2 linked regions of the Tribolium castaneum genome follow. The protein of the gene in region 1 interacts with the protein of each later gene in a pairwise test. Links are inferred from orthologs where the notes say so. Each region holds a gene or a part of one and is shown on either strand. Other genes may lie near its edges.

Evidence for each region.
Region 2: the proteins of Prosalpha2 (region 1) and vesicle-fusing ATPase 1 interact in binary tests that used the Caenorhabditis elegans proteins (3 or more experiments, as listed by UniProt). The link is inferred for Tribolium castaneum from reciprocal best matches to the Caenorhabditis elegans genes pas-2 and nsf-1.

The regions. Positions count from the first base shown.
Region 1 is NC_087397.1:11,804,009-11,807,437, reverse strand, and holds Prosalpha2 (proteasome subunit alpha type-2), read left to right. Parts: upstream 1-1,473; 5' UTR 1,474-1,573; coding exon 1,574-1,614; intron 1,615-1,735; coding exon 1,736-1,812; intron 1,813-1,863; coding exon 1,864-2,275; intron 2,276-2,656; coding exon 2,657-2,831; 3' UTR 2,832-2,904; downstream 2,905-3,429. UniProt on the Caenorhabditis elegans protein: The proteasome is a multicatalytic proteinase complex which is characterized by its ability to cleave peptides with Arg, Phe, Tyr, Leu, and Glu adjacent to the leaving group at neutral or slightly basic pH.
Region 2 is NC_087395.1:13,854,091-13,858,022, forward strand, and holds the start of vesicle-fusing ATPase 1, read left to right. Parts: upstream 1-1,554; 5' UTR 1,555-1,677; intron 1,678-1,681; exon of another isoform or gene 1,682-1,749; 5' UTR 1,750-1,814; coding exon 1,815-1,817; intron 1,818-1,897; coding exon 1,898-1,986; intron 1,987-2,035; coding exon 2,036-2,245; intron 2,246-2,298; coding exon 2,299-2,444; intron 2,445-3,932. Other genes in the region: Calr (calreticulin), read left to right, coding at 1,068-1,088. UniProt on the Caenorhabditis elegans protein: Required for vesicle-mediated transport. Catalyzes the fusion of transport vesicles within the Golgi cisternae. Is also required for transport from the endoplasmic reticulum to the Golgi stack.

The sequences.
Region 1 (3,429 bases):
AAAGTAACATCATTTTTATTTTATTCTTGGAATTTTGAGGCGTGTTTTGACAAAATTATAGAAAATAAATGAATTTCAGGTTCAAGAACGAACAAAATTTTTAGATCAAATGCGTGTTTATAACTTTGTAAATAATGAAACAAATCACTTGTTTCTCTCATTTATACGAGAAATGAATGCAAATTAAACCAAAATATTTTTATAACATTAAATATTAAGTATAGTCCTCCAAACCATTTTGAAATCAGCCTGCGATGATCTATTGATCTACCACTACATTTGCTTTGAAATTTTTTGTCTATACATTATCTTTGCCTTTTTATTGGTTGAGCGCATTGAAAGGACATGACTCCGATTGGCTTTCGGGCCAGCTCCACACAATTAAATTCAAGTAATTTAAACAAAACAAAAATATTTGGCAACCTTATTTTTAATAAGTAGTTGTTTTACTGGTTACGATTATTTTATAGAAGAATAGTAATTAACAAAAAAGAAAGAAATGTAATGCAATGCATTCTGCAAATAATTAGCTTTCTGTCTCATCAATAATGTACTAAAAAGTTGGGGAAAATACTATTTTTGGTCTAATTTCTTTTTTCGGTTTAACAAAAGTTATAATGCATGTTTTTTATTCCTTTAAAAACAATTTCGACATATTGACAGATAAACTGTCATGGCTCATGGATAACTAGTTTAGAAATTTAAAAAAATATATAATAAAAGCCTTAATTAGAGAAAAAATGTGAGGAGGCAACAAATTTAAAAAACGTGTTTAAAAGAAAGAAGAACTCATTTTTTGACCGAATTTTGTCATTTTACAACCTACTTTTGACGAAATTTCGCCCAAAAACTGGAGTGAAACCGATTGGTTTTATTTTATTTTTGTGATTTTGAAGCCTGTTTTGTCAAAACACAACCAATTTACACTTATTTTGTAGATTTAGACGGTTTTTTGATCAAATGTAAAATATGGGGTGCTAAAAGTAATTTTTCAAAAAAAAAAAAATAAATGAATTCCAAAATAACAATAGTTTTATTAGAGTTCAACACTGCCTGATATCTGATAAAAACTAAATTGTTAATAATTGAAAATTAATACTAATTTATTTAACGAATAAATTTATAATAAATTAGCTGTTTCAAAACTATAAAAACGCCAACGTCGATTTTTTTTAAATAAAATTGATGGAATTGTAAATCTCATCGAAAGTATAAATTACATTTGCTATTATTTTTTTGAAGTGTATGGATAATTTATAACAGCTAATTTTGAGAGAAAATGCGATGTTTTTATAGTTTTGGAACAGCTAATACTAAATTTTAAAAAAATTGTGTTTTTATCAGAGCACCAAAAAATTGTAATAGTTTTTAATTTGTTATTAATGGAAAATGCACATTTAGCTGATATCTTACAGCCAAAAGAGCAACTGTTTTTCTGCTACAGTTTCCTGTAAAAGAGTTTTGCTTAGTGCGTAACCAAGCTTCTAGATGGTGCTGAGACGGTTTGAATGATTTGGTAAAAAGTTAACAAACAGCATTACCAACATAAAAACAATTTGTTTTGCAAGTAATCATGGCATCTGAGCGGTATAGTTTTTCTTTAACTACTTTCAGGTAAAAACATGATTTCGCTTTGTATAAGTTGGAAAAAAATCACAATTGTGATTTTTCCCACAATTTGATAGTTTTTGTGCTACTGTTTTACTTATTTTTTCACCGATAACCTCACTTTTAGCCCTTCAGGAAAACTAGTGCAAATCGAGTATGCCTTAGCTGCTGTGGCTGCAGGTGCCCCCTCCGTGGGGATCAAGGGTACCTCAGATCCTCTTTCTTAATAATTTTCACCTAATATCATTATTGCAGCCTGTAATGGAGTCGTTATTGCCACCGAAAACAAACACAAATCCATACTTTATGATGAACACAGTGTGCATAAAGTCGAAATGATAACGAAACACATTGGTATGATTTATTCGGGCATGGGCCCCGATTATAGATTACTGGTCAAACAGGCGAGAAAAATGGCCCAGAAGTATTTTCTCACCTACCGAGAGCCCATCCCTACTGTACAACTTGTACAACGTGTGGCGGCTGTTATGCAAGAATATACGCAATCAGGGGGCGTACGGCCCTTTGGCGTGTCTTTGTTGATTTGTGGGTGGGACAGTGGCAGGCCTTATTTGTTCCAGTGTGACCCCTCAGGGGCCTATTTCGCGTGGAAGGCCACAGCGATGGGTAAAAACTACATCAATGGCAAGACTTTCTTAGAGAAGAGGTAATAATAATTTTTGTATATTATCATTTGTATTTAACATTTTGGTCGACGCTCTTTATTAATCAACCAAAAATATTTTTTGTTACACGCCAAATTACAATTATTTAAATTATTACGATTGTAGAAAAAAAGTAATGTATACCTCAGCATTAAAATTTTTTCTTACTTATGTCAAATTTCTGACGAAGAAATGAATTTTTGTGCGTTGTTTTACAATAGTTAGCACTGGACTTGAATTTATTTTTATCTTCCGAGGCGATAGTTGAGTATAAAAAATTGTGTTGCCATTCTAAATATCGCTGTTTTTAAATTATGTAAAAAATTGTGTTGATTTTAAGTATGATTTCTGGAAAAAAATCGTTTGTATTGTTTGGTCTTTAGATACAGTGAAGATTTGGAGTTGGATGATGCAGTTCACACTGCGATTTTGACGTTAAAAGAGAGCTTTGAGGGGCAGATGACGGCGGATAATATTGAAGTTGGGATTTGTGATGAGTCAGGCTTCAGAAGATTGGAGCCTTCTCATGTTAAGGATTATTTGGCGAATATACCTTAGATTCGTTTTTGTACACTCATGTATTTGGATTATTGTCATCTTGCTTTTGCATAAATAAATATTTTAAAATCTACCTAAGTTTTTTTTATAACTTTATTATCTAGCGCATGGACAGGACATATTCTAATTGAAAAAATCAGTTTTAAATTAACCTTGGAATAAGCTAAAAATGTGCGAATATCGGGGGCTCCTACTGACTGCGCCAATGAAATACGCGATTTTATTTTGTAAAAAAATATTACAACTGGCAGCTAGACGATATGATACCGGATTGTTCTATTCGAAAAAACATACAAAATAGCCCATCTGTTAAAAAATTGTTTCATCGAAAAATGTTTACTACACCGACTTTTTTCGATTACCACTAGTATGCATATTATGCCAGACCTCAGTGTATCTTTTGTTATTACACTAGTTTATATAGTATAGCTGTTGCCAAAGTTTTTTTTGCTGTTGTTAATTAATTGCTAAACGCTGATTTCAAAAGTGCAAACAGAATTTTTCTATCAGCCTTAGTTTTGGAGATTAGCTTAACTTAAGTTAACATTTCTTTTAATAAAGAACACATTTTTTTTAACAATTTAGGTTACATATCTGT
Region 2 (3,932 bases), on another chromosome or scaffold:
TTATTTGGTGTGAAATTTAAAAACATTAAAAAATAATGATAACTATAGAAACTAATAAAATGAGTCGTTTTTCAAGATTTTTCTCGAATGTAAATTTGCTCAATAAAGTAAAGGCTTTGCTGTTTTGAGGTCAAAACTCTTTTTTTATTAAATTTCGCTAAAATCGGTCGAAAAGTTACAAGTTAAATAGCAAGTGTTATTTCAGCTTCTTTCGCTGAATTTAGTTTAAACCAGATACACATTTATTTTACACGATCTTATCAAAATATGTCAGAAAATCATGGAATTAAATCGAATTCCATTTTTCTTGTTGCACTCTATTTTTCTCGTCTATTTTTAGCGAGATTTCATCAAAAGTTTACCATAAAACTAAATAATTAAGGTGGTAATAATTTTACCAGTTAAAAACTTTTCAACAGCATTTAAACGAAAATCATTATGGGTTAGAAGCTTATTTCTAACGCAAGATTTTTCCACCACTCTAAACCGTTTTTAACCGCTCATTTTCTCTTAAAAAAAACGTAAACCTTTGATGCCATTGGAAAGATTTAAACCGAATTTGGTAAGTGAACCTGCTACACTATTAAAAAGATTTAAAAAAAATGGTAGTGTGGTGAAAGGGGTGTAAATCTGATAATTCTTTCAGCTCGGATCTGGAGATTTTTATTTTTTGCGTTGGTGACAGTGTTACTACGAGATCTGTTAGATTTATTTTAAAGAATTTCTCTAAAAATGCAGTGTCTGTTAGATCGAATTTGTTATTTCGGTCTATATTATTTTGCAGTCTTATCAAAACATCTTTAAAAATGTTGAAAAATTAAATCAAATTTGTTGATGTTTGTCCTGTTCTATTCAATTATTTTAATCTCGAATTTTCTGATTTTTTTGGGTTGGCAACAGTGTTAAATTAAAAATTAAAAAAAGTGATTGTGGATAAAATAACTATAAATTCGGTAGGAATGTCATTAAACGCTCGGACTCCGTTTGATAACTTGAGCCCTCGCAATAATTATACTTCCTGCACCTTGTTTATGTAATATACTATTTTTTATATTTTTTTGTTACAGGAAAATCATGACGAGTTGTGAGTGTAAAAGAGACAATTTTTATATCTTACTGTGTGCAGTGTTTTGTTCCATAGTGTGTACTATTTCTTTGACTGATTTTTGTTAATAATGAGCGTATTACTTCTAATAAAACACAAAATCCTACAATAAGTTGTTTTTGTATTCACATTTTATTTGTACAAAATTCAAATAAATTATTATAACTTGTATGTAATTTTAATATTGAGATGTAAACGTACGACCGACGCTCTTCCATTTTTACTTTTTGTAAAATAATTATGTAAGTGGTCAATAAACACGAACCTCCGTTATTACAAGTTTACTTTTTCTTTTGATGACCTGACATCATCACTGATGTGGCTTAAGCTTTAGTCGCGGCTACTGCCGCCAGGGGCGCTGTAGATGACGATGTGACAGTGCCGCCAACATAATTTTTAAAGATTTGCAACTAATTTCAATTATTGAAGCAAAGTGAAAGAAATCTTATATCTTGCCACTTAACATTCAGACGTTGGCTCTGGAACCCTTTTTGTGATACATTGTTGCAAAATTACTAGTTAATGTAAAGTAGGGGTAACGTGGGCAGTTGATTGGCGACACTGTAAAACGGGTAAGTGAGGTTAAGTTGTGTTAGGTTAAGGTTGTTATCCTGTCAGTGCTGTGTAAAGTATTGATTTTGCAGGTTTTCACTAAACCTGCATTGCAGCATCTTCAAACTGAAGTTACAGAATTTATTCTTGAACGAAAATGGTAATTTTTCAAATGATTTAAAGAACATTGTATTTGATTGTCTCTACCGCAAGTAAACTAACAAAAATTTGTTGTTTTAGTTGTTTAAAGTGGTGAAATGCCCCTCAGATGAGCTGTCATTGACAAATTGTGCTGTCGTGAATGACGCCGACTTTTCACAATCTACAGAGTGAGTCATTAGGATTACATGAGCTGTTCCGAAGCCGATTTATTTGCAGGCATATTGAAGTCATCACAGGAGGAGTGAAAAAGTTCATTTTTTCCATTAAGAAAGACCCGAGAGTTCACAGGAATGAGGTTGCGTTCAGTGTACCACAGAGAAAATGGGCCACCTTGTCCATTAATGATGACATTGAAGTTAATCCTTACAAGGAAGAAGATTACATAACTTCGATTGTCCTGGAGGCTGATTACATGCAAAAGAAAACGTGAATAGTTTGCATTTAGTTTGAGCCCTTTTTAACACATTATTTTATTATAGAACATCGCAAGAGCAATATGACACAGATGAAATGGCTAAAGAATTTATTTACTCGTTTCCAAATCAGATGTTTACTGTTGGTCAACAACTGGCTTTCCTCTTTAAAGACAAAAAGATACTTAGCCTGCTCGTCAAGGACATTGAAGGTAGGTTGGTAAAAAAATAAGATTGTTTTCTGCGTATATGTTTTATAAATTCTAATTATACATAAATTCTAATTATAAGTTGGCAGGTACTAATCTTTCTTAATAATTTCATTAAACAAATGCAGGGCCTAAACAATTATGTAGGTTTTTTTTAGCAAGTGTTTGACTTTGGCAGTCGCAAGCATTCCAAAATTTTTACTGTTTAAAAAAAAACAAAAAACCTCACAGGTAAATCAAACACTCTGAAACATTTTTAAAAGAAAATTTCGTATGGAGAATGACAAATATGCTAAGTCTAATGTGTTGCAATATGTTGCAACTTTTAATAATGATGTGGAATAACTTCAGAAGTCTGTGATTCAGAAGTCTCGTATGTGAGTCAAGATATAGCACGTATTATTTTTTCTTGAATTTAGTTAGGGGAAATGCTAGACTTTGCAACATTAAGCAGATACCTGTTAAAACAAAAGAAGAAAAAACATCGTTTTGTGCTTTATGGAGGATAAAATATCTAACAAACTAGCAAATATGACAATTATTGAATTAAATTTTTAAGGAAATTATTTAAGAAAATATCTGCCATCATTTTGATGTTTAGCTGAACGTCTTTTAGCACCATTTGTAAGTTGGGCCAACATTTTTGAATCATCCTGCAAAAAATCACTTAAATAATGTGTTCGCACATTGTTGTCATTGAATAATGCGGTTCTATAGAATAAATCTTATTTGGAAAAACATGAAGTTTGTTTAAATTATTCCGAAAATGGCATTATTTTTGTACTTTTCAGAGTTTTACCAATTTTTTTCCTATGCGGAAATTAACTATTTTTACTGGTTTCCTACGAAACCATTCAAAAAATCATCACGGTTTTGTAGCCTCGGTTTTTTTCACAATATTTTGTTGAACTGTATTAAAAATACTACATTAGGAGCAACAAAAATACATCATTTTAGCAAAAACACTCCCAAATATCAATTATTTCGAGAAACTTTTTTAATAGACCGAAAAATCACAAAATTGGGGTGAAAATAGTGTTATATTCGCTTTTTCAAACATCCAAGAACGCTTTTGACTTAAAAATTTCAATAGACATATTTCAATATGTCTATTTTTAAAAGCCTTGAAACACCAAATACCGTCAAACTTAATAAGTAATAGTAAATTAATGAATTTGTAATAAATTAGTCTGTAAATGACATTGTTTTTGTGTTTTTCCTGAGGTTTAGCGTTTTTTTCTAATTGGAAAAACATAATTTTGAGTGGTTTCGTAAACAAAATATTCTAAAAATCACCACGGATTCGCAGACTCCGTTTTTTTGCTGAACTGTATCTATCAAAAATGTTAAACTAGGCATAAAAGTTAGAAAATCAATTATTATTTCTAGAATTTTTTATAAATAAACCGAAAAATTGTCATTTTGGGTTAAATGTGGTGTTATTGATGCGTTTTCAAGCATTTAAGCACGTTTTTTGAGTAAAAATTATTT